Linked DNA regions of Struthio camelus. The protein of the gene in region 1 purifies or fractionates together with the protein of each later gene. This does not show direct contact. Links are inferred from orthologs where the notes say so. Each region holds a gene or a part of one and is shown in the gene's direction. Other genes may lie near its edges.

The links. Proteins that work in one complex are often made in the same cells at the same time.
Region 2: the proteins of RPA3 (region 1) and RFC1 purify together in Homo sapiens (affinity purification with mass spectrometry; 3 studies listed by BioGRID and IntAct, with this or other methods). This does not show direct contact. The link is inferred for Struthio camelus from reciprocal best matches to the Homo sapiens genes RPA3 and RFC1.
Region 3: the proteins of RPA3 (region 1) and SMARCAL1 purify together in Homo sapiens (affinity purification with mass spectrometry; 3 studies listed by BioGRID and IntAct, with this or other methods). This does not show direct contact. The link is inferred for Struthio camelus from reciprocal best matches to the Homo sapiens genes RPA3 and SMARCAL1.

The regions. Positions count from the first base shown.
Region 1 is NC_090943.1:29,918,267-29,925,796, reverse strand, and holds the start of RPA3 (replication protein A 14 kDa subunit), read left to right. Parts: upstream 1-4,506; 5' UTR 4,507-4,725; coding exon 4,726-4,824; intron 4,825-5,136; coding exon 5,137-5,211; intron 5,212-7,172; coding exon 7,173-7,281; intron 7,282-7,530. UniProt on the Homo sapiens protein: As part of the heterotrimeric replication protein A complex (RPA/RP-A), binds and stabilizes single-stranded DNA intermediates that form during DNA replication or upon DNA stress.
Region 2 is NC_090945.1:61,775,188-61,782,684, forward strand, and holds the start of RFC1 (replication factor C subunit 1), read left to right. Parts: upstream 1-4,402; 5' UTR 4,403-4,530; coding exon 4,531-4,533; intron 4,534-7,497. UniProt on the Homo sapiens protein: Subunit of the replication factor C (RFC) complex which acts during elongation of primed DNA templates by DNA polymerases delta and epsilon, and is necessary for ATP-dependent loading of proliferating cell nuclear antigen (PCNA) onto primed DNA.
Region 3 is NC_090947.1:29,554,690-29,561,950, reverse strand, and holds the start of SMARCAL1 (SWI/SNF-related matrix-associated actin-dependent regulator of chromatin subfamily A-like protein 1), read left to right. Parts: upstream 1-4,166; 5' UTR 4,167-4,253; intron 4,254-4,261; exon of another isoform or gene 4,262-4,378; intron 4,379-4,425; exon of another isoform or gene 4,426-4,527; intron 4,528-5,191; exon of another isoform or gene 5,192-5,337; intron 5,338-5,721; 5' UTR 5,722-5,810; coding exon 5,811-6,681; intron 6,682-7,261. UniProt on the Homo sapiens protein: ATP-dependent annealing helicase that binds selectively to fork DNA relative to ssDNA or dsDNA and catalyzes the rewinding of the stably unwound DNA. Rewinds single-stranded DNA bubbles that are stably bound by replication protein A (RPA).

The DNA.
Region 1 (7,530 bases):
TCTTATGGGTAGCCTTTGTGAAGACTTTCAGATTCCAGTCAGCTACTTAAGAAATCAGAGCTGTGGTTGCCCCACGCAATCACATTTTTTCCTCTTTGAGATATACATTATTGTGCAGTTTTCAGTACTAACACACAGTGTTCCCCTTCCTCTCTTTCTTGCACATACAAAGGAAAGCATCTTATTTAATATACATGTAATGAAGGTACAATGGAGTTGTACAGGAATCCATACTTTTATCATCTTTTAAATCCTGCATATAATGTACATAAACTTAGGAACTTAAAAAAAAAAAAGATCACAGATGTTTCAATTCTTTGCCAAATTAATGTTACGAAAACTTTAACATAATAGATGTTTTCCTTTTGCTGACAGAAGGTAGGCCTTTCCAAATACCCCAAATGTTTTAAAAACACAAAATTCACCTGATCTGCACACGGCTTCATCTTTACTTTGTAGTTTACAGCTTCTGTAAGTAGTTTTTTTTAAACTGATTTGCACTACCTGCAGTATTTCTCAAAAACAAAACGATTCCCCCGTCCTGGCTTGAAAATGAAAAATAAACAAAGCAAAGTATCCCATAAACTCAGGCCTCAAGTTCTTACTGATGAAAGCACTGGTCCAGACGGAAGCAAACAGCACCTGTTGTCTTTTGCGGTTGTGAATGTTGGGAAGGTGGTAAGGAACCTGCATATTAAAAGACTAATATGCTTTGTGAGGCTCTTTCTTCCTCTGGTGTTCACCACTTAAGACACATAACTAAATCCTAAATCACATAGATCCACATAACTCTCATGAAGTAAGGAGTATGCCAACTACTACTTGCAGTATTTCAGTATCTTTGCTGAAAATAATTATTAAGTTTAAGCTTAACAAATATTCACTAAAAAAAATAGGAGAGGGCACACAGAAACAAAAAGTAGAGCAGTATAAAGTATGCACATATGTAAAGGAAAAGTTCTAGATAGGCAACACTATGGCTGGTATTTGTGATATTTGCTCTCTTAAGAATTTTATCAACTGTGGTACTTTGGAAGTAAACATACACCTCTCAAGCAATGTGAAATGTAACTGCTAAGTTTCCTGAATTAAATGTTAAGAAGAGAACAAAGCCCCTGCCCAACAAAGAAACACTGAGTTGAATGGAAACAGTCATGCTCTTGAAGATAAGAACACAGCTTAAGCACTTGCATAACCAGGCTGAAGTTTTACTACTTGTGGATATGATGGGGTTTCATTTAACTAACACTGAGAGTAACTGGTTTCTGCACAAGTTTAACTTCAGATTAAAAACTAAATTTGAAGTTTGTGGACTTGGATGCGTGGTCATATAGAATAGAAAGAAGAGAATTTAAGTTCTTTGGTTTTTTTTTTTTTTTTTGAAGCTGACAACACAAAATCTCAGAAAATACATCCACCATTCAGGGAAGTACCACAGTCCTGCAGCAATGTCTCCTATATAACACAGCACTTTCCCCTCCAGATGGGATTAATTTTATTTCTATAGAAGACCTGAAATTGAATTCACTGCCTAAAGATAAAAATCTCCCTTGACAGAAACAAGCAATTCCCTTTGCCTTATGTTTCACCCTCACCAAAAAGTGAACATAATTTTTTCTTCCTTCAATCTCAACTGCTGATAGTTAAGAATAATGCTTTTGGCACCACTTCAGTCATTAGCAAGCAATAAACTGTGAACTATAGCAATTCTGTGGAACTACACAAAATATTTTGTCTTTATGTGAGGCTCTGAGAACATACATATGATTGGACAAAGATGAGTTACAGAGCTGTACAAAGGGGTTAATTTGTTCCTTGTGTTTTTTGTCAGTCTCATTTGACAAGAAGCATGGGTGACCTGAGAGTCAAATCAGTATGTTGCATCCAATAAACTTTGCATACAGTGTTTATCCTGGCATATTCAGCATTACTTTTCAGCTCTTTTCCAGGATGCTTGCAAGTGACAGGAAGAGAAAGGTAATTAAACATTAAAAAAAAAAAAAAAACAATGATGCAGTAATCTGCAATGATGCAGATATACAGAGGAGGCCCAGGAATACAGCAAAGCAGAACTGCAGTGGCATTCTCAGTAATTATATGAACAATGAAATTAGATCAGAACAATGTACAAAACTTGATTTAAAAGAACCCAAACAACTTCACATCTAGCAGTTTAAGCTGTATAATCTATGGAAGCAGAAAACAGAGTGCATTGCAGAGATTCTCAAACCTTTTCCATATTAGTATGCACTATGATTCACCAATAAAAGTAGCAATATGAAAAAGAGCGAGATGTTTACAGCCCTGTACAACCCTTTCTGTAACATGAAAACAACCAATTTAGGAGTCAAGAATGTGTGTGTTAAAAAGAAGGTATCTCTGTAACACTGAAAATGCAGTTTAAAAAGGTTCTCACCTAGCATAAGTTACTATCTTAAGAAGTACAACAGATTATGTCTTTTATTCTTATTAGTCATATATCTCTTTAGCTCAGGCTTCTCGAAAGCATGAGAAAGGAAAATAAGTATCAACAAATACAAAAAAGGGAAATACTTATAAGAAACACTAATAAAGACTTTCTCACATACATAAAAATTTTCATGAAATTTTACGGAAGAAGAAACACCAAGACCTATGCAATCCAAATTAACATTGTATAAAAACACTCAATGATGCAGCAAAAAAGCATGATAAAAAAGTAATTACGATGAAGTTAGGCAATAAAAGCGTAAGTGACAAAGGCAAAGTCAGGAGTTTTCAAATAGCAGATCTCAAACTAATGTCAACATTCTCTAATTAAGAAAACTCTCTGGAAGTAATTAAGAAAACTCTCCAGAAGATAAAAGATGCTAAGACTGAAAGCCAGGTATTTATTAGATACATTACCCTTGTTAGGCTGCAAACCCATTTCTTCCCCAACAAGCAGTTCTCTTTTTGACTGCAAAGCTTCAACAGCGACTATGCATGTTACAGGCATACACGTGTAAAAATTTTTAAGATGTATTTTTCTAACAGCTGACCCTTCAAGTTTGGCAGGCACCAAAGGCCCTAAAAGGGCCACTTTGCAGCAGCGTGCTGCATCTGGGCTCCAACTGTCATGTTTACGATATGTTATTCAGGTTACGATATTCTCTGGCAAATGAACTACTGAAAAGGTGAATGGCATAGTGACAGGAGATAAGACGACATCCAACTGCAGCCCACCAAAGCCACGATCCCACCGCCCTCTCATTCCTGGCTGCGTGCTGGTTCTGCACAGGCTCTGGCAGCAGAATGATTCCTTGGTGATCTGGCTCAGCTTGCTCAGCCTTCACAAAACTATCCCAGCAGAGTAAGAGTCGCTTCCTGCTAGTTAGCACGCTGAATTAACCCACTTTGGGTCAGAAGAGACAGCCAGCGCATGGGTAGTGTTGGCCTGCGCTTTTAAAGCACAGTGTAGTGCTAGATTGTTTCAAATGTTTCCTGAAATGTGAGTCTTGGGAAGGAAAGCTGAAGGAACTTCTGTACACAATGGAAGATTTGTGAGAAAACACCGAGAAAGGGGAAATATTATGGTGAAGGCACTCATGTACAGATTTTAGCTCCGTCTTATGCCAGTTAGTTGCTGCACTTCAACAAACGGAGATAACTCACTCTAACTCCCAGGACCAATATGGCAGCAAGCCTATGTTCTTTAGTATGAAATGTTCAGATATTGCTTCTGTAACAGCCATGGGGCGTTTTCAATGTAATCACAGAAATGTCAACAGTGTACACCTCTGTAAAACAAGTAAGAATCAAGAAAGCATAGCTTTAGCAGTAATACTCTGAAGTAAGCGCAGAATGAGTTTCTAAAGGGCTAGACAAAATGGTGAAAAGTAGTCAATACAGAGCAAGGCTCTCGGGTAAGAGGAGAAAGAAGTGTACTTTAAGAGGAAGAGATATGGGGAAAAAGGGCTAAAGGGCAAAATATGTATCAGACAGAGGCCTGGAACTGGAAAAAAAAGGAACATTCATACATATTTTGATTCTGAATAACGGGGAAGATGTGGGGACGAGTAAGAGCAATACTGAGAGACGCATCCCTTTTGAAGTTGTTCCCTGTCTCAGCAGCCGGAAGAAGCGCACTGCCGGCTGAAGGGCAGAGGCAGGTCTTTTAAGCTTTTCCTTGTGGCGCAAAAGTGAGCAAAGCAGCCGATCGGGATCTTCAAGGAAATAGGAGGGGAAAAACAGAGAGCGGGGAGCACGAGCCAACCGCCCGGGCCGCAGCGGCGGGAGCCCGAACCCCGGCCCCGGAGGCCGGGAAGCGCCGCCCCGCGGCAGCTCCCCCCGCAACCGTCCCCGTCCCCGTCCCGCGCCCAACGGACGCTGCCGCCGCCGCCGCCCGGCCCGGCCCACGGGGGGCGCTGGCGCACGGCCCCGCCCCCCGCGCTCACTCACCGGCGCGCCCCCAACCAGCCCGACGCCGACGCCGACGCCGCACAGCCACCTCCGCTTCCGGGTTCCGTCACGCGCCGCCCGGACGCCGCGCGCGCGCAGTTCGTTTCACGCGCCGAACCCACCTCCGCGCACTCCGTCGGACGCAGCGCGCTTTCGATGACGTCAGGCCGCGGGAGGTAGGGCGGGGGGGGGGGCTTCTCGCTGAGGCAGGCGATTGGCAGGCGAAGGGGAAGTCCCGCCCGGACGCCTCCCGCGTTGCCAGGTAACGGCGGCGGCCCCCCGGTCAGCGCGGGAAAGCGGGCGGCGATGGGGGACGTGCACGATGTGCCGCGGCCGCGCATCGCCACCGGCCACCTGGCGCGCTACATCGGGCAGCCCGTCTGCTTCGTGGGCCGCGTGGAGAAGGTACCGCGGCCCCTGCCGCCGCCGGCTGCCCCGCCGCGAAGCGCGCGGCCTTCCCCGAGCCGCCTTCAGGCGGCCTCCCCGGCGGCGGCCGGAGGGCCCTGCTCGCCGCGGGCGCGGCCGAGGCTGAGGGGCCGCGGCCGCTGAGCCCCGAGTCGGCCCCCGCCGCGGGCGGGCGGGCGGGAGCTGGCCGCAGCGGCGCTGCTGGGTCCGGTGGAGAAACACCGGAGCTCCTCCGCTGTTCTGGCGTAGAAGAGCTACGTCTGTAACGTTTGCAGCTGCGTTTTGAGCAGGCGGACTTGGTTTCTTTTGTAGATTCACCCTACTGGGAAACTTTTTGTCCTTTCGGATGGAGAAGGAAAGCATGCAACTGTGGAGCTGAGCGAACCCGTAAGTTGAAGATCGCTTTAGAAGTAATTGGCATTGCCGTTTTTAGATACCGGCGGCTTTGTCTTTTCTGAATTTTGGGCATGCCTTGAACGTACTGCGTTTTTAGTCAGAAAAAGCAAAAGATCTCCCTTGTTTTTCACTTTTGCACCTGTTTTTTTTCTCTATGCTCCTTGCACCTTCAACTCAACTTGCGTAGTCCTGATGTTAATCAGCTCAGCAGTTTTCAGGTGGTGTAAGACACTCAGTTCATTCCCTTTTTCCAGTGACATTGCTAGTTGGCTACTTCATCTTACTCTGTTTGTTGCTTACAATGTGAAATACTTTACTATATTGCTTTAGTTTTGTTATGCTTTCTCTTCTCTCTCTCTTTTCTTTATTGTCTATCTTTGTATTCCTAACAGATTATTTTGTAAAGATAGTCCAAAAAAACCTCCAAGAAATTGGTATTCTCTTGAGCTGACATTTTACTGATCTCTTAGAACACTTCTCGTTGTATTCCAGTGAACTTCATCATCAGCTTGAGCGTTCTGTTGAAAAAAATCATTAAGCAATTATGCATTTCATATACTCATTGCATATAAATGCTGCCAGGAAGTTTTGTTTCGTGTGTTATCACGTTCCTCTCTTATCACTAAAGGAATAAGACACTCGTGTTCTCTTCTGTCTTGCAAGTTTTTCCAGTTATCAGGTAGTGTACCTATGATGGCAAATGCTCTGGCTTGTCCGAATATATCCATAGTGTTTCCATCGTTTATGTGAATGAGTTGTTAAACACTGAAAAATCTACCATTTCCTGTGAATTAGTTCTGTGTCATACTCGCTGGCTTTCAAGATAGGAATCTCACCTTACTGAATAAAAATGCAGTTGGATCTGGCAAAGAGTTCCGTTTTATAAATGTGAAACTTGCTGTCTTCAACTTCATCTTGTGGGAAAGATGTTTTCTTGCAAGTTCTACCCGTTTCTTAATTCTTACATGAGCTCGTGAGTTTTCCTGTCTTGGGTTGTTACACTTCAGATATCAGCATCTGATTAATGATCCTACAACTTTCTGTAACAGAGTAAATGAGCAAAACTTAAAAATGCATAGTTGTATTAGACATTTCACAGTCTGTGTTCCAGTTCTGCATGAATAGGTAAAGGAGGAGAAACTAGGGTGTGCGGAAATATCATGCCAGGCCCATCTCTCTAGTTTGCCTAACATAAGTAGAGAGACTTCTAGATTTCCCTGTCAGAATGCTTCTAGCTTTCTTCCTTTGAGAGTTTCCTCTGTTTCTGTGTGTGTAGTCCCTCCTTCCAACAGAGAAATATAAAATTATGCGGGGAGAGAGGAGATCTATTTCTATGTTCCAGTAAGCTTACTAGAAGGTTAAAATAAGTATAAGGTTAGTATTAGAAGGACATTATAGAAATAGTGTCACACTCTTAAAATGAGTAAAAAATAATAAAAAAGTAAGTTAAATCTACATGAGTTTGTGGTAAGATATAATTTTTATTTTTAGCTTTTTTTTTTCTTATTCAACCAAAAGCTTGTTAATGCCATTGTCCTTGTACTCTGAACGCTTCTTGACAGAGCACCTGAGAAAGCTTCTAGGAGACTTTACTGTATTATTCTTCTGCTGACTGAGTCCTAGATTACTACCTCTGCGCAGTGATTAAATGACACAGCTGTATATACCCATTACAGTGTTATCTTCCTTCTGATGGTTCTTCATACTTCTTTTCTTTCTCTGTTGAGAACTTAAATGGCTGTTACAAAAAACTGTACATCTGTAAATGACTCAAAGCTTTTGCTTTTTTTTTTTTTCCTTTTCCCCCAGTAGTATTGTATTGCATGACACAGAACAGAATCTTTTGTAATGAACAAACCTTCAGTTTGCTGAGAGTTTCTAGCTCAAGTTCTGTGCAGAGCAGACTGTACTTAACTTGGTGATGCTAATGTCATTTTTGGTATGTTCTCTAGCTAGATGAAGAGATCTCAGGAATTCTTGAAGTAGTGGGAAGAGTAACAAGTCAGGCAACCATCATGTGTATGTCATATGTCCAGTTCAGAGAAGATAAAAGTCCTTTTGGTAAGTAAGAATATACCTTATAACAAACTAATTTTGCATTCAGAACTTGATTCCTGGAAGAAGGCAGAGCCAGATAATCCTTTCTTTTGGATAATGTCATTCTTCAAGCTGTCAGATATGGAGAAGAATGTAGGAATGGGTACTACCATGGGAAAAACTATACACGGAATATACTGCCGTACTGCTGAACTGTAGGCAGGATCTCAAAGCCTGAGCTGATCTAGAGTACTGCCATGGTCCAGTCATTCC
Region 2 (7,497 bases), on another chromosome or scaffold:
TCACATGTTCCTTTTTTATCACATGGAATAGCATTTTGAAATACTTATTGGGATGGTTATTGCATGACTGTAATCCTCCCATTTTAACATTTAAAATGCTTTGATCGCATAGATCATACTTTATGAAAGAGAAAACCCAAACACAAGTCATTATGGATGCCACTGTACCTCAAAAGTAGACAGCTGCCATGACTACCAGATATTTGAGATCAAAACACTCATGACAGCTCTGCAACATCATGGCTGTGCACTGACAAAGTAAAGACAATAGGCTTCTCCCCAATAACTACAGCAGAGCTAGTACAACTTGCATCTTATTGCAGACAACACGGTGCATCAGCATGAGATGTGAGCAGTGTAGTGGACTTGTGCTCACAGATGCTTAATCTGGCCAAAGTTATGAACTGCACTTCTTTTCTCGTTTTTGATGTGCCTGGGAGCATGCTTTAATCAAGATTTCAAAAGGTTTCCCACTATAAGACCGTGAATCTAGTTTCTTACTGTTTTGTCAGATTTAATAGTACGGGCTATCATGTTATTTGATAAAGTTAGAAAGAGATTAAACTGATGAGAGTCATATAAGGACGTGAACTTGGGAAGAAGGTTATGATTAGCTGAATGACGAGTTGGGGAAAGGAAAGGCTCTGACCTTTAACTTGGAAAACAAGTAGTAAAGACCAGTGAGATCTGATCAGGAACAGCTGAGAAGCGGGGGTGCACAGGGAGGGGAAGAGAAGAAGAAGGAATAAATGATGCCACTAGCTCGAGTGGCAGAAGTCAGTGTTGGCTCCCACCCTGATGCCGCAAGCAGGTGTCAGCGTGATGTTACATAGCGCAATTTCCTGCCTCAGGCTGTGCATGTGATGAAACTGGTTTCAGAATGAATTGAGGCTGAAAGAGTCTGGGATCTCCAGGGCACTTGCCAATACAGCTACATCAGTTGGGAGGCCTAACGGACTATGCTGTTCAATTCTCACCTATCAAACTTCCTTTTCTGTCCTTGCCTCTGTGAAGATAAGTGATTCAAATTATGAAACCAACTTTTGACTTAACCTTTAATTATGTATACCCCTTGTTTTATGGGCTCAGCTTGAAAACTCGGAGTTTGATCTGCAGAAGTGCTGAGCGCATTAGCCAGAAAGAATGGAGTCTGAGTGTATACAATGTTAGTCTGAGTTAAGACACAGTCATTCTGCCTTTAGATATTCAAATGAAGATAGAGAAAAGATTTAAGGACAAAGTTCACTCAGAAAAAGTGCACTGTTTACATTAACATCACCTACTGAGACCTAATAGTTTTAAGCACTCAAAAAATCACAACTTAATTTATGTAATTGCTCTCAGCAGTGTAACACATATCAAAGACTTACCTCAAAGAATTACACAGCAAAAACTGCTTGAGATGGGATCAAATCTTTTCTAAAGACACAAAATTGTGATGGATACATAGAAAGCCTAACGTAAACAGAACCTAGATGACAGATTTACAAAGAATTTTTGGAATTTTTGGTCTGCAATAAAATACAAATTCCTATTTCTACAATGTAAGAGAAAACCATTTGTTATTACTAGAGACTCTAGTAAACATCATATTCCCTACAGAATTCATCTAACAGAGAGAAACATTACCATCTAGTAAGAGGACATTTCGATACTTATCAACGCCATTTAAAAACGTTGAATTTAACCTGAAGTTTTAATTTCAGGAAACACATTGTTGTGTTTTCCTTATCATCACAGCATTATAATAGTATACTTCTTTAGGGCAATTCTTAACCTGTGAGGTCCTTTGAATATATATGAGGTTCAAAGAACATTAGCCGTGTACCATGACACATTGCAAAGATTTCTTAAATGATTGAAGTGTGCTGTGCCCTAAAAACACCGAGAAACACTGCCTTGTGGACTTCAAAAGTATCTCAGTATTATGTTACAGGTTTATCTGCTTTGTACTTAGATAAGTTTCAAAAAAACACAAAATACAAAATTTGGAATAACTCTAAAGAAAACATTGCTTCAAAATAGTTACAATAAAAGTTGATTCGGTTCTAAAATTGTATCAAACTACTAAAATATAAAAAATCAAATACACAATGACCTAGAAAATATTACCAAAAAGGAAAGTGACTAATCTATTTGATATTTCTCAACATAAGAACATGTATTTTTCTTCACACAACTTTCCCTCTCTATAAACAAGACAAGGGCTTCACTAACAACAGTAAGACTGTTTTTGTTCAGTAAGGAAGAAACTGGAAGCTCATGATTTAATAAATATCTCAGGTTTTAAAATATATTTTGGAAAATATCAACATAAAAATCCCAAATAAACCAGGCAGTAAGTGATTTGCAAAAAGGTAGAAAACAAGTCTGATTTGTTTACTCTTTGGTTTAGTTATAAATAGGATGACAATATTGGGAGTACTTCAGCTATTTTTAAAAAAAAAATAGTACTTTTAATTGGATCATATGCCTTTAAAACATAACCCGTGATCAATGATACGATCAAACGGGATATTGCCCTTATTTTATCTTACAAAGCACATCATAATACAGTGAGTATTAGGTTTTGTTTCCAGTGACACAGCAAGGTTTCTCATACTTGCAGTGGTTTCATAGGCACACATGCAGAAACACCGCGGAGTCTCTCCACTGTAACCAGAAGTGATTTACGGTCATTCCAAGTATTTGGGCTGATCTACTTTACATAAAGGGTTAAACTCTTGCCTTCCAAGAAACATGAACATGTCACAAGCCCACAGGCGCATACTGCTCTGCTTGACGTTATTCTAGGTAGCTTTATCAAATACAAACATAGATAACCACCTGCAATAATTCTTTAACATTATTTAAACAGTTTGTGTGGCTCTTACAAATGTCAGCCATTTAAACTACTCTTAATTTTGGCATTGGGAATAAGTACAGCTTTAAAAATGGCATAATGAGAATTAAATACATAAATATAAACATATCATTAGAGTTGTTTTTCTAAAGTGATACCTTTTTGTTTGCATAGCCATTATAGTCCAAGATTTACGGCATAATTCGCAAAAAATACTGAAATCACAGCCTGTGCTGTGGGGTCTATATTTACTTGCTTGCTCTTCCATTTCTTTATCCAGAAATGCAAATTCACAAGCTACACTAATACTAAAAATATGAAGGAAAGAGTCCACCTGGCCATACTCATTCATAAAAGAACAGTGGCAACTTCTATATAAATAGGGCCTTATAATTATTTACAGCTTAATTTAAGGAATTAAACAGAACTAGTAATAGAGACCATGAGCATTCCTGTTTTCTCAGGTCAGGCAAAAAGATCTATCTTTTATATCTATGCAACTATCTTTGTTGAGAGTTCGACCATGACACCAAGGAGATAGCCTCTTGTTCTTACAAAAAGAGAAAATGAGTACAAGAGGTATGCAAAGGATTAGTACTGTAAGACAAGTACCGATTGAATTTGTACTCTGTACTGCTTTATGAGTGGTTTTCTCAGTCAATGGCAATATTTGAAAGTCATAAATTCAGTTCATCCCCCCCTCCCTGCCCCTTTTTTCCTCCAAGACTATCAGTGAGTAGGGATTCAATGGGTTGGCAGAACAGAGACATCAAATAAATAACTATTATTAAGAAGGGAACTGATTTTTATTTGGATTGCCAAAGGTTTTTCCCTCCCAATGCCCAGCAAGTAAAGAAAGCATACAGGATTTCATAAAAAAAAAAAATCAGAAATAAAGAAGACAGTAGGTGAAGACTGAGCGTAACTCTTATTTTCTCTTCGACCCCTCGGACCCTAGCAGACTGTGAGCTCTCCTTGGCCTTAATGGAGGGGAGAAATCCACATAGAGAAATGGAAGTCTAAGACTTCCTGCACAACTGGGAAAGAAATGAGAAAGAGCCAAATCATATTTAGTCCGTAAGACACGTCGGAAAAGTAATTTAATGCATCGGGCTGATTCAGGTCGGACTCACTGTGACTGCACTGCCGTGCTACTATTTGCCTATCTATTTGGGATGCTTCATTTGCCTCAGTGCACAAAAAACCCGATCCACCTCATGCAGGCACAGCACAGATTATGGTTCAACGGTTAAACTGTCGGCTTTGCTGCTCTGCCGGCGGTGACCGCCCGCAACGCAGGAGACGCCTCTTCCTTCCAGAGCGGCAGAGCTAACTGCCCCGCACCGAGCAGCAGCTGCCCCCCGTTTCCTTCCCGGCCGACCGGCCAGGGCCTGAGCTGTAGCTGCCAAGCCGTCGCGCCAAGCCAAGGCGGAGCGCGTCGGGGGCTCCCGGCCGTTAACGGCACTCTGCCCTGCCCCGCTAACGGTCCTGCCAGCCTGCCCCGCACCCCCCCGCCCGCGCGGCAGGCTCCCTCCACCCCGCCCCGCCCCGCCCCGCCCCGTCCGTCGCGGCTGTGACGCCAGCGCCGCGCGCCAGGTGTTCGGAGTTGGCGCGAAGGCGGGGGGGGGGGGGGCGGGAGCGATGGAGCCGGCGGCCTCCCGCTAACGAGATAAACCGCCGCCAGCAGCATGGTGAGCGCGGCGCCGGGGGGAGGGGGGCCGCGCCGCGCCGCGCCCGGTGCCAGTGGGGGGCGCGGCCTTCCCCCTCCCCTCCCCTTCTCTCCGCGGTTTCTCCCCCCGGGGGGGGCGGGTGGCGGAGCGTTGTGCAGTCTCCCGCTGGGGCGGCGCGGCGCGGCCGTCAGCGTCCCCAGCGCGCGGCAGCGGCCGTTGAGGCTGCTGGCGAACTGGGCCGGCCGGGCCGGGCCGGGCCGGGCCGGGCCGGGAGCGGGGGTCCCGCGCTGTGGCGGAGCGGCAGGGGGCTGCCAGGGCGGGGGCGGTGGTGAGGCCACCGCTGGCAGCGGAGGAGCCGCTTATCCCTGCCCGCCCTGCGGCGCTCCCCGCGCCTTGGGGCTGCGGCCCGGCTTCCCCCCGGCCTGTGCCGCGGTGGCCTGTGCAGGGAAATTAAAGTCGTGGCCAGGGAAGCAGCTTCCCGCGGCTGTATGCGCAGCCCGGGTACCTGAAGAGGGAAGCGGCTGTGCCTGTCTCCGGCCCCCATCCACCCCCAAGCCGATGGCGCAGCAAGGTGCAGGCCGCGAGGCTGTCCGAGCGTGGGGTTCCTCCTCTTCCCAAGCACCAGCGGGCAGTCGGACAACTTGGCCTCTCTTTCCTGAACACAGCCTGTTTGCATCTGCCCTTAGTAAGGGTGTACGTGAGGAGATGTCTGTTTCACAAGTGCACAGTGTGCAATGTTTGTAGAAAGGCTGTTCAAGTCAGAAAAACAGAACTTGATCTGTAAGTGGAAGCAATTATAAATAATGAAGGAGGCAACTCCCCTATGCGGGATGCGCATAGCTTGTAAATGTATGTGTGTGTGCGTTACAAGATTGAATTTTGTCTTCTTCTCTTGATCAATTAAATTTGCTTCTGCTTAGATGGGGTCTGTGTGCAGGTGTTACAAGGTTAACTAAAAATGCTGCTCTATGCCAGCTTCATTCAACTCTGATTTTGAACTCCGTTTACATAGAACTTGACCTTGTTTGTATATTACACCTGACACTCAGCAATGATGGGCAGCACCACCCCACTCTTTCCCAAACTGATACAAAGGTTTGCCAGCACTACAAATCGTGATACTATTAAACCATGATATTTTGGTAGTCTGTTAGCGGTGGTTGACCTAGAGCTACATAGCAGGACAAGAGTTTCTCTGCCTCTCTTGTTCCCCTACCACCATCTCTTTACAAAACTGATCATACTGGGAAGTTTGCTTCCTCCTTTCCCACCTTGCTGGGATAAAGGCTCTCTTCCTGCATGTTGCCTCTTTCTAAGAGGCATGCATCTCACAGTGTTTGGGCCTTTCCTGGAAGGGAGGAAGACGGCCATCATTCTGGGGGGAAGGATGAGCTTCCCCAGTCCATTCCCTTTCCCGTGCTGAAGAGAAGAGGCTGTGCAACCATTGGTGCTGCAGCTGTAAAGAGGGAGGCAAAATGTAGTGATAGTAACCTTGTACCCTGCTCTGTGCTGTGCAAGGACACCACAAGCATACTGGCATTTATTTTATGTACTTTTAAACCTTTTTTCATGTAGCACCAAATACAAGTAGCCCCTATCTGCCTCATTCCACAGCATCTTCTCAGTTCTGCTATACTGATTTGTGTTAGAAAGGATTTACTTTTATCCGGGTTAGTTCCCTGATCCAGGTACCGTGCAAAGGGCTGTATAATGCTACAACTGAGGGAACGAATGACTGGTAGTAGGGGCTACTTGCGCTGCCTCTCTTGCAGCCATACAACAGTTATATGGCCATAACTGTAGTATCACTTGTGTATACTTAGACCTGTGATATTGTTCTAAAATAGTACCTGGACTATATAGTACCTAGACCTCATTTATTACTATTAGTAAGCTTTAAATTAGTGTAGGTATCCATGCAAGTATTACTGGTGTAACTGAAGTGATGTTTGGAATTTGATTTCAGGCAGTGCAGTTTTTGTGGACGTGCCAGGTGTCAAAGCTGATGTGTGCGCAAAACTTGCGCTGAAACAAACAGACTTGTAGATTAGCGCAAATGATTTTTTTGATGCAAAGCTCCTATGGATACACTTCAGAGTACCTAATGAAACTGCATTACTTGTTGTTGCAGTCATTGAGCTAGGTTGATGAAATTCAATTTTCTACCTCACAGTGTAGTTTTGAGATGCAAACTTAGTTGTAACAGTGTTATTCTGGAAAATACTCTGCTTTATTTGAACCCAGTCTTTTAAGAAGACTGCACTCGTTGTGGCTAATAATGCAGTGTTGCATGTACAGTGCACATTCTGACAGGGTTGAGATTCTTCTGTCATTGAAGCATTGGAATAGTTTTGTACTGAAATTTTATCTGCTCTGTGGTCTTTGGTTTAGGAGGCTTTTAAAATGCAGGAAAAAATTGTGAGAGAAAATCAGATTGGAGAGTTTATGAGAGAAGTGTTGCAAAGACAGCTTTTATAACTGAATTTTCTAACCTGAGTATTAGCTAGTCTTAAAAGTTACCCTGATAAACTCTTTGAGTAACCAGTCTTTGCACTAACAAATTGGTTTAAATTCAATTAGCCTTATTTCTCCCCAGTAAAGCTGACAGATAGAAATCTTTCAAGAGAAAACTTGCAACCTGACATGATTCATTTCTGTTCTCTACTACTTCTGCATAAGACTGAGGATTTGAAGCAGTAGTGAAAACTGCCAAGAACTGGACTACTTAGCCGTTAATGAGGTTATACAGTTTTACTAAGATAGCTCAGCAGGAAGCAGTGCACCTGGCTACAGCGTTTTAGGCTGACCAGTGCTGTGCACCAGCTACTCTCCAAATGTAGGCAGACTCATCAGAAATACTGGGCCTTGTTTGGGACCATGGTTGGGTCTCCTCAAAATGTGGTGGTGCAGATGTGGATCAGAATCCCTTGTTTAGTAGCCATGGTTTAAAAGAAGCCTTTAAACTCAATATGCCCAGTCAGTAAT
Region 3 (7,261 bases), on another chromosome or scaffold:
GGCTGTCTTTTGGAAAAGCCCTTGGCATCAGCCCTTACATCTCACAGAAGCCCAGAGCTGCTCTGCCAACTCCTCTTGGTCTGCAGCATGCTTTGAGGTCCTCCAAAGAGAGACACTACTGCTGTGCAAGAGCAAAGGACCATTAATATTACACTGGTGGATAATTATTTAGCATCAGTGACCTCTGATGCTCCTGCTTTAAGGATTTATCTGTATCTCTGGGTCTCTTGCGCACCAGGAAGAGAAAGGGCCAGAGAACCATGGGTAGTTTTAACCAACAGAAGCTCAAAAGTTGGCTTCACATCAGTACTAAAGCTATAGGATTAACTGTTTATTCTGAGCTTGAAAACTAGGCCAGTAATTTAGGCTCCAGAATAGAACTGGGAGGGCAACTTTTGTTTCTTTAGCCTGGTTTCCTAAGGAAATAAAGCTTATGCAATTAAGTTATCTGTGCGTACATGTGGGCCTCCCCTTTTAACTTTGCCTCCTTCAGCCAGTTCAACCATGTTTCACCAAGATAATGTTTTGTTCTGCATTTGGGGAAACAAACAGTTGTGTAGACCAGAGGGATGTATGATGGCCTGAACTCAAATATATTATAAGACATCGGGGGGTCCAAATTGCTAGTGCCTCCCAGAACTAGATCACACCTCACTTTGTGTTAAATGCTGGCAACACAGAGGCTTTGGAAACCCTGTTTGCATCTTAATGTAGGATATTTTTTTTCTCTTTTAAATCTTTATTCCAGGTGCCAAAGAACTGTCCCACACACCTGAGTTCTATCATATAAAAAAACAAGAGTCAGCTCAGCCTTGCAGCAACCATGTGAGTGTGGTGGAGGCCTGGCAGTGAGGCAGAGGCCATGTGCTGTGCAGACCATTGCTCTGGACTGGAGCTGTGGAGAGGAATCCAGCCAAGAAGGACAGACGGCAGAGAAGAGCCCCTGCAATCTGTTGGAGGGGCTGCACAATAAACAAGAGCAGGAAGGCTTCAACATGCTAGGGGAGAGCAAGCTGTGTAGATAAAGGCGGCTGCTTCAGAAGAGTGGATGGTGACTAATTTTCTTTGCACGGGGTGGCCAAGGAGCAGGGAAAGAGGATTCTTCTTCACTGAGCTGGCTGTCAGAGGGGGGAGCAATCCTCACATGTTAGAAATACCGAGAGAAAAGGCTCCACAGGTCCCCTTTCATTAGGGTTTTAAGGGCAGCTGGGCTCCAAGTTTTAAGGGCTCCAAAGTTCAAATTTTGTCTTTGGTGATACAAAGAAGCTCTGGGAAAGGGTCTGATTCAGAGTGGAGTTGTGGTAGTAGCTGGGCTGTCAAATGGGCCAGTAGGCCATTGTCCTTGATGTGCCGAGGCAGAGAGAAAGTAGAGGGTATTAACAGATGACTAAGAAAAGAAATCCGGGAAGAACTGCTCTGGGAGAATATGGGGTCAGCCACTGTGCCCAGGTCCAACCCTGAACCCCAGCACCTGTGGGAGCTCTGAGCATGGGGTTCTGGCTCTCCATTAGGAAGCTTTGACCCTGCTGAGGACCCCAGACCAGAGAGGAAGGAGCACAGCCCCTCAGCCCACGGATCAGGTGCTGTAGAAAGTATTCAGCTCAGATCCTAGCAGCTCAGATGACAGATTGGTTTTCCCCAATGAGCTGTGCCAGCCCAGGGGCCTTTCCCTGCCTCCTCTGCCCTTAGACCTTCCTTGAAGGACTTGTGTGTGACCTGCACATTCTCACTCTGGTCACTTGACTGGTTTTACCTGGGAAGGAGCTGATAAAGCCTATGGTCTTGGGCTTAATTTCTTTTAAAGGGGGTGACTACAAGTACACCTCGGCTGGTCAAAGGTGAGTGTGTTTGGGAGCTGATAATGGTGTTGCTGAGCTCCATGCGGGCTTCTGAACTCCTCTGAGAAGTCGGAGCACCCGAGGGCTGTTACTGCATGCCAAGCTCTGTGTTTCTGATTGTCTCCCAGATGGCACCAGGCCTGAGGATATGCAGCGGTGAGAACCATGGAGGTGTGTTTGAAAGGGGATGGAGCAAGGTGAGTACATTCAGCACGACAGCAAGTGAGAGAGCCTGAGAGCAGCTCAGAAGATATCCCCAGATGAAGAACTGTGAGATACAGAACAGGTCCAGGATCCGGGGTCACTAATATTTCAGATATTAGCTGCTGTTTGTACAAGATGTATGACAAATGTCCAGGCAGTTTTGGTTTCTTTCAGCAGGAAGCAGTCAGGATCAGCCAGTCCAGTCCATGAGAGGATCACTACATTTTGAGTATGATCCAAATGATGGAAAGATCCTAGTGAGAGCAGTACTGAGAAGCCTGTTTCCTCAAGCTTTTTTGCTAACTGGAGTGGTTCTGAGGAAGCGGAAGAACCATCTCCTCCCCAGCAGAGCTGGGGTCTGCTAACCCACTCATCCTCTCAGGATTTTCTTACTGCATCTCTGTTCCCTGACCTAGTATGTGGAAGGTGAATCCAAGCCATTGCTGGAAGCATGTTCTGATTGAAAGGACACCTGGAGTGCTACCAGCAAACTGCTTGCAAACGGCCTCTCATTTTGTAGGTCTGTTCTCTGCATGGTTGGGCTGTTCCTTGTGCCTTGCTGAAGTTGTGCCATATGGAGCAAATGCTTCAACGTCTGTCTGTGTGTCTGCCTGACCGTGCAACCCAAGAGCTCTTATCTCTGCAAATGATGCTTTAATTTCATTGTCCTCATGAGCTGGGGACAGTCCCTGAGAGGGGCTTTTCTCTACTTCTCCCAAGTCTATTCTTTTCCAGCTCTCCCAAAACATAAGGAGTCATCACGAGAGCCCTGGAACTGAACAGCCGCTGGAGAGAGAGAAAGTGGCTGAAATACTTGCAGGGTTATGCTCTGTGCTTCCTCCCTCTCTTGCCTGTATGTAACTCCGGGCTCTGGTTTAGCTTTGAGCAGCGCAAAGTGTGACAAGAAAGAAAAAAAAAAACTGATCTCTCATCCCTTCCTTCCTCTCTCTGCCACTTAATCAGCTTGAGGCCACTGGCTCAAAAGGGAAGAAAAGGGCAATCACTGATGATCTGAAATGAGACCACAGGACTGAACATCCTTTCTTACCATGCTCCGGCTCTGCAGGGGGGAGCCCTGGCTTCTGGAAGAATGGTCAACTTTTACTCTTTTGCTGTCTTCCTAAGAGAAACTAAGACAAAACTCTTGGTCCAGATCTCTCCTCAGCACTGTGGCTTTCTTTAAAAGTTGCATGTTTGCGAGTGTCTGCGTGTATGTGCCATGCTCACGTTTGTGTGTTTGTGATTCCTGGGTGAATAACTGCACTCCCGGGGTTGTGCTATTTGTCAAGTCGCACCTCATCCTCGCTGCCTGCCTTGTTTTTCTCAGGCTGACGCGCTCCTGACTAATGGCAGTCACTGCTTCTTAATCAGAAAGCAATTTAAGGATAACCTTTTTTAATTAACAGTGGAGAGAAGACTGAATAAATAAACTGTGAAGCAGCCAGCTGGCTGCTTTGTCCCTAGCTGAGGGGTCTGTCAGGTGGGGGAAAAAGGTATTTGGGGACAGCGACGGCAGGGGCTGAAGTAGAAGGTGGGAAGGGGCTAGGCTGCTACCCAGAGACGATCACTCCAGCTACTCTGCTCTGGTCGCTCACAGGGGAATCATGACTTGAACTGTCCAGGAGGGACAGCTTGCTCTACGTATTTAAACCCTGAAAAGTCCTTTTATTCCGAATTTTAAAATGGAGGCAAATAATTACCTCATTGTGAATTTATTGCCACTCTTTTTCCATGTATTAACTCTGTTTTTAATTTCATGCACTTACTAACACCTCTAAGAGTGACGCCCTTCCTCCCAGGCCAACCAAACCCGGGGCACCAGGACACCGTTGTACGTGTGGTTTTGGGAGCGTGGCCCAAAAGGATTGAGGCTGTGGGGCACCGGGGTAGGGCAAAGGCACGGTCCATCACGGGTAGAAGGGCTCCTGCGCCCTGCATGTTCGTACGAGAGAAACCGGGGCGAGAGGAGGGTGCTGCGGCGCCCGGCTCCACAGCTCGAGCCCCTGGGCCGCGCTGCCCTTCGCGCCCATAAGATGGCGCCGGGAGGAGAAGACTACATTTCCCAGCATGCCGAGCGGCCCACAAACCATCCCAGTTCGCGGCGTGCCACCTGCGGTGGGAGTACTTTATTCTCTAGAGCGGGGCCTGCTGGGAGTTGTAGTCCGCGCGGCTGCGCGCCCTTTGGCGGGGATACCCGGCCTCTGCCATCCGGTGGGTGCGCGGGCGTTTGGGGCGGGGGGCGCTGGGACGTGGCTGCGACTCAGGCGCGCTGCAGGGGAGCTTCGGGGCGATGTGGGACATTGCGGCCTGTAGGGCGGGCGCCGGGCCCCTGAGAGGTGAGGGCGGCCCGGGCCCCTGTTAGGGGTGGGCTCCGGGCCCCTGTGGGGTGAGGGGGCCCAGGCCCCTGTTAGGGGTGGGCGCCGGGCCCCTGTGGGGTGAGGGCGGCCCGGGCCCCTGTTAGGGGTGGGCGCCGGGCCCCTGAGAGGTGAGGGCGGCCAGGGCCCCTGTTAGGGGTGGGCGCCGGGCCCCTGAGAGGTGAGGGCGGCCCGGGCCCCTGTTAGGGGTGGGCACCGGGCCCCTGTGGGGTGAGGGGGCCCAGGCCCCTGTTAGGGGTGGGCGCCGGGCCCCTGTGGGGTGAGGGGGCCCAGGCCCCTGTTAGGGGTGGGCGCCGGGCCCCTGTGGGGTGAGGGAGGCCCGGGCCCCTGTTAGGGGTGGGCGCCGGGCCCCTGAGAGGTGAGGGCGGCCCGGGCCCCTGTTAGGGGTGGGCGCCGGGCCCCTGTGGGGTGGGGGGGCCCGGGCCCCTGAGAGGTGAGGGCGGCCCGGGCCCCTGTTAGGGGTGGGCGCCGGGCCCCTGTGGGGTGAGGGGGGCCCGGACCCCTGTTAGGGGTGGGCGCCGGGCCCCTGTGGGGTGAGGGAGGCCCGGGCCCCTCTTAGGGGTGGGCGCCGGGCCCCTGTGGGGTGGGGGGAGCCTAGGCTGGAGAGTGGGCGCTGGGACAAGGGAGCCTGGTGTTTGGGAGAGGAGTGGGGCAGGGAGTGAGCCCCACAGTGCAGGGAGAGGAGGGCAGCCCCCAGGATAGGATGCTAGGAGTAGGTGAAGCGAGGCCAGTTCCTGGGAAATGCGGTGGGAGCTGGGTCCTTGTTCCCATCAGAAGGTCCTTGAACTGGAGTGGACCTTCCTCAAGGCAGGAGCTGACCCTGCCCTTTGCAGCAAAGTATTTCTGCTCTATGCTGTGAACGGCCTGAGGACTGGAGGACGCTCAGGAAAGATGGGGTGTGGTCCCTTCTTTTTTGTTAGGTACCAAAAATGTGAAACACTTCCCATACAAAACTGTGCAGATTAACTGCTTTGCATGCATTTGCCTTTGTGGGGCAGCCTCTGTGCTGCAGGGTGTCCCTGTGTTTGGCCTTTTTATCTGAACTGCCAACAGCTGGGATTGGGGAGGAATGGTGCCCCAAGCTGGCACTGGAGTGGTATGAGCAGGTTCTCCTTTTTCCATATGCTCTATCTATGTGGAACTGCCCTGCAAAGCCTAGCAGCGGTTGTCAGCATCTGCATGCTGACAATGGCTTAGCATTGACCTGACAGCTTTGCTGTTTTTGTGTAGGATCAGTTACAGTAGTACCTGATCACTAAGAATACCTACAGAGTTGAAACTTCCTGTCTGCTATATTTTTATAGGCTGGCCTCCAATCCTGTAAAGAAGCAACTGCCCTGAGATTAACTCCCGATGTGGTTTTGATTCAGGATTATTATTTGAATTGCTGAAGATGTCATCAGGCCTTACAGAGGAGCAAAAGAGAAGAATCGAAGAGAACCGCCAGAAGGCCTTGGCTAGGAGAGCAGAGAGACTAGCAGCCCAGAGAGGTGGGCAGGTGGGGAGCACTGAACCTCAGCTGAAAGAGCGCAGTTTACGCAATCAGGGAAACTTGAAGCAAGAAAACGATCATGTCAGGTTCATTAGCCAGCACCAACAGAATCCGAACAGTCCTAAGGAGCAGAAGAGCTATCTTCATAAAGATTATAATCATTGCACTGCAAACCAACAGATGGCTGGCTCACATGGAGAGCAACAAAAGAATTGTTCGGAGGACTCAGAACAAGCAAGTGGCATTAAGCAATTCCCTGCAACGATTCCAAATTCTCTGAGTTATTCCCATCAACATAACTCAGGTGCTGATGGCCAGAAACACAATCAACAAGCTTTAATTAATCTTGGTACATTCCAGCAGTCCAAGTACTACCCAGCTTACAAAAACCCTACAGAACTATCTCATCCCAGATTAATAGATAACTGGCACCCTGGTGATATTAAAGATTTACAAAGTCAGAGCAAATCTGCCACTAAATATGTTTCACCACCAAGCAGCACCACCCCAGGTGATTCAGAAATGCTGATAAACACAGGCAGATCAACAGAAAAAGAGGGAGGAGGTGGTGCCTCTCAGGCCAGTGGTAAGGTGCAAAAGCTGACCAGCTCTGCTGGTGCAGGCTCTACCTTTGAAGCTGTCTCTCACAAGAAAGCATGCAGTGTTACAAAAGGAAAGTGTGTGAAATATGGAGAAGATCGATTCCAGGTTGAAATAGGGTATAATGCCGAACTCATTGCTGTGTTTAAGAAGGTACCAAGCAAAAGCTACGGTAAGATTTGCTTGTTTGCTCATATCTCTGTTTTACATTGGAACAAAATTTCAGCATCTCTTGGAACTGTAGTTGATATATGCTCTTAGCAATGCATCTGCTGTTAGGGTGGAATATGGAATATTAATGGGGGATTGGAAGTAAAGGCAGTTGAAATTTGGAAAGAAATTCAGGGACTGAATAGCTTGAACTTGGATTTAGCCAAGAAATCAGAAGTCCTGACTTATGAACCATGCTGTGAGATGATTAGTGGTGCCAGCTGGTCAGGGTCTTTTGGGAATGATGGAAGAGAAGTTATTCATAAACTGATGTGGGAAAATGGGTCAGTCTGAATTCAGCTATCACTCAGAGTTGATGGGCTGATTCTGTTAACTGGGTTACTGACAGGACTAAAGCCTGCACCTTTTCTGGTTGCTTCTGTTCTTTTCTTCTGGCTGTTATTTGCATATTTATTATTGTTAGTATTTTTTTTTCTCCTCTGTTGCTGCTTTCTGTGAATGGCTGCTGCATTGTTCTTACATTGTACCTTCTGACTTCTTGGGGGACCATGTACCTGAAAACCTGGGCATGCTGTTTTCCA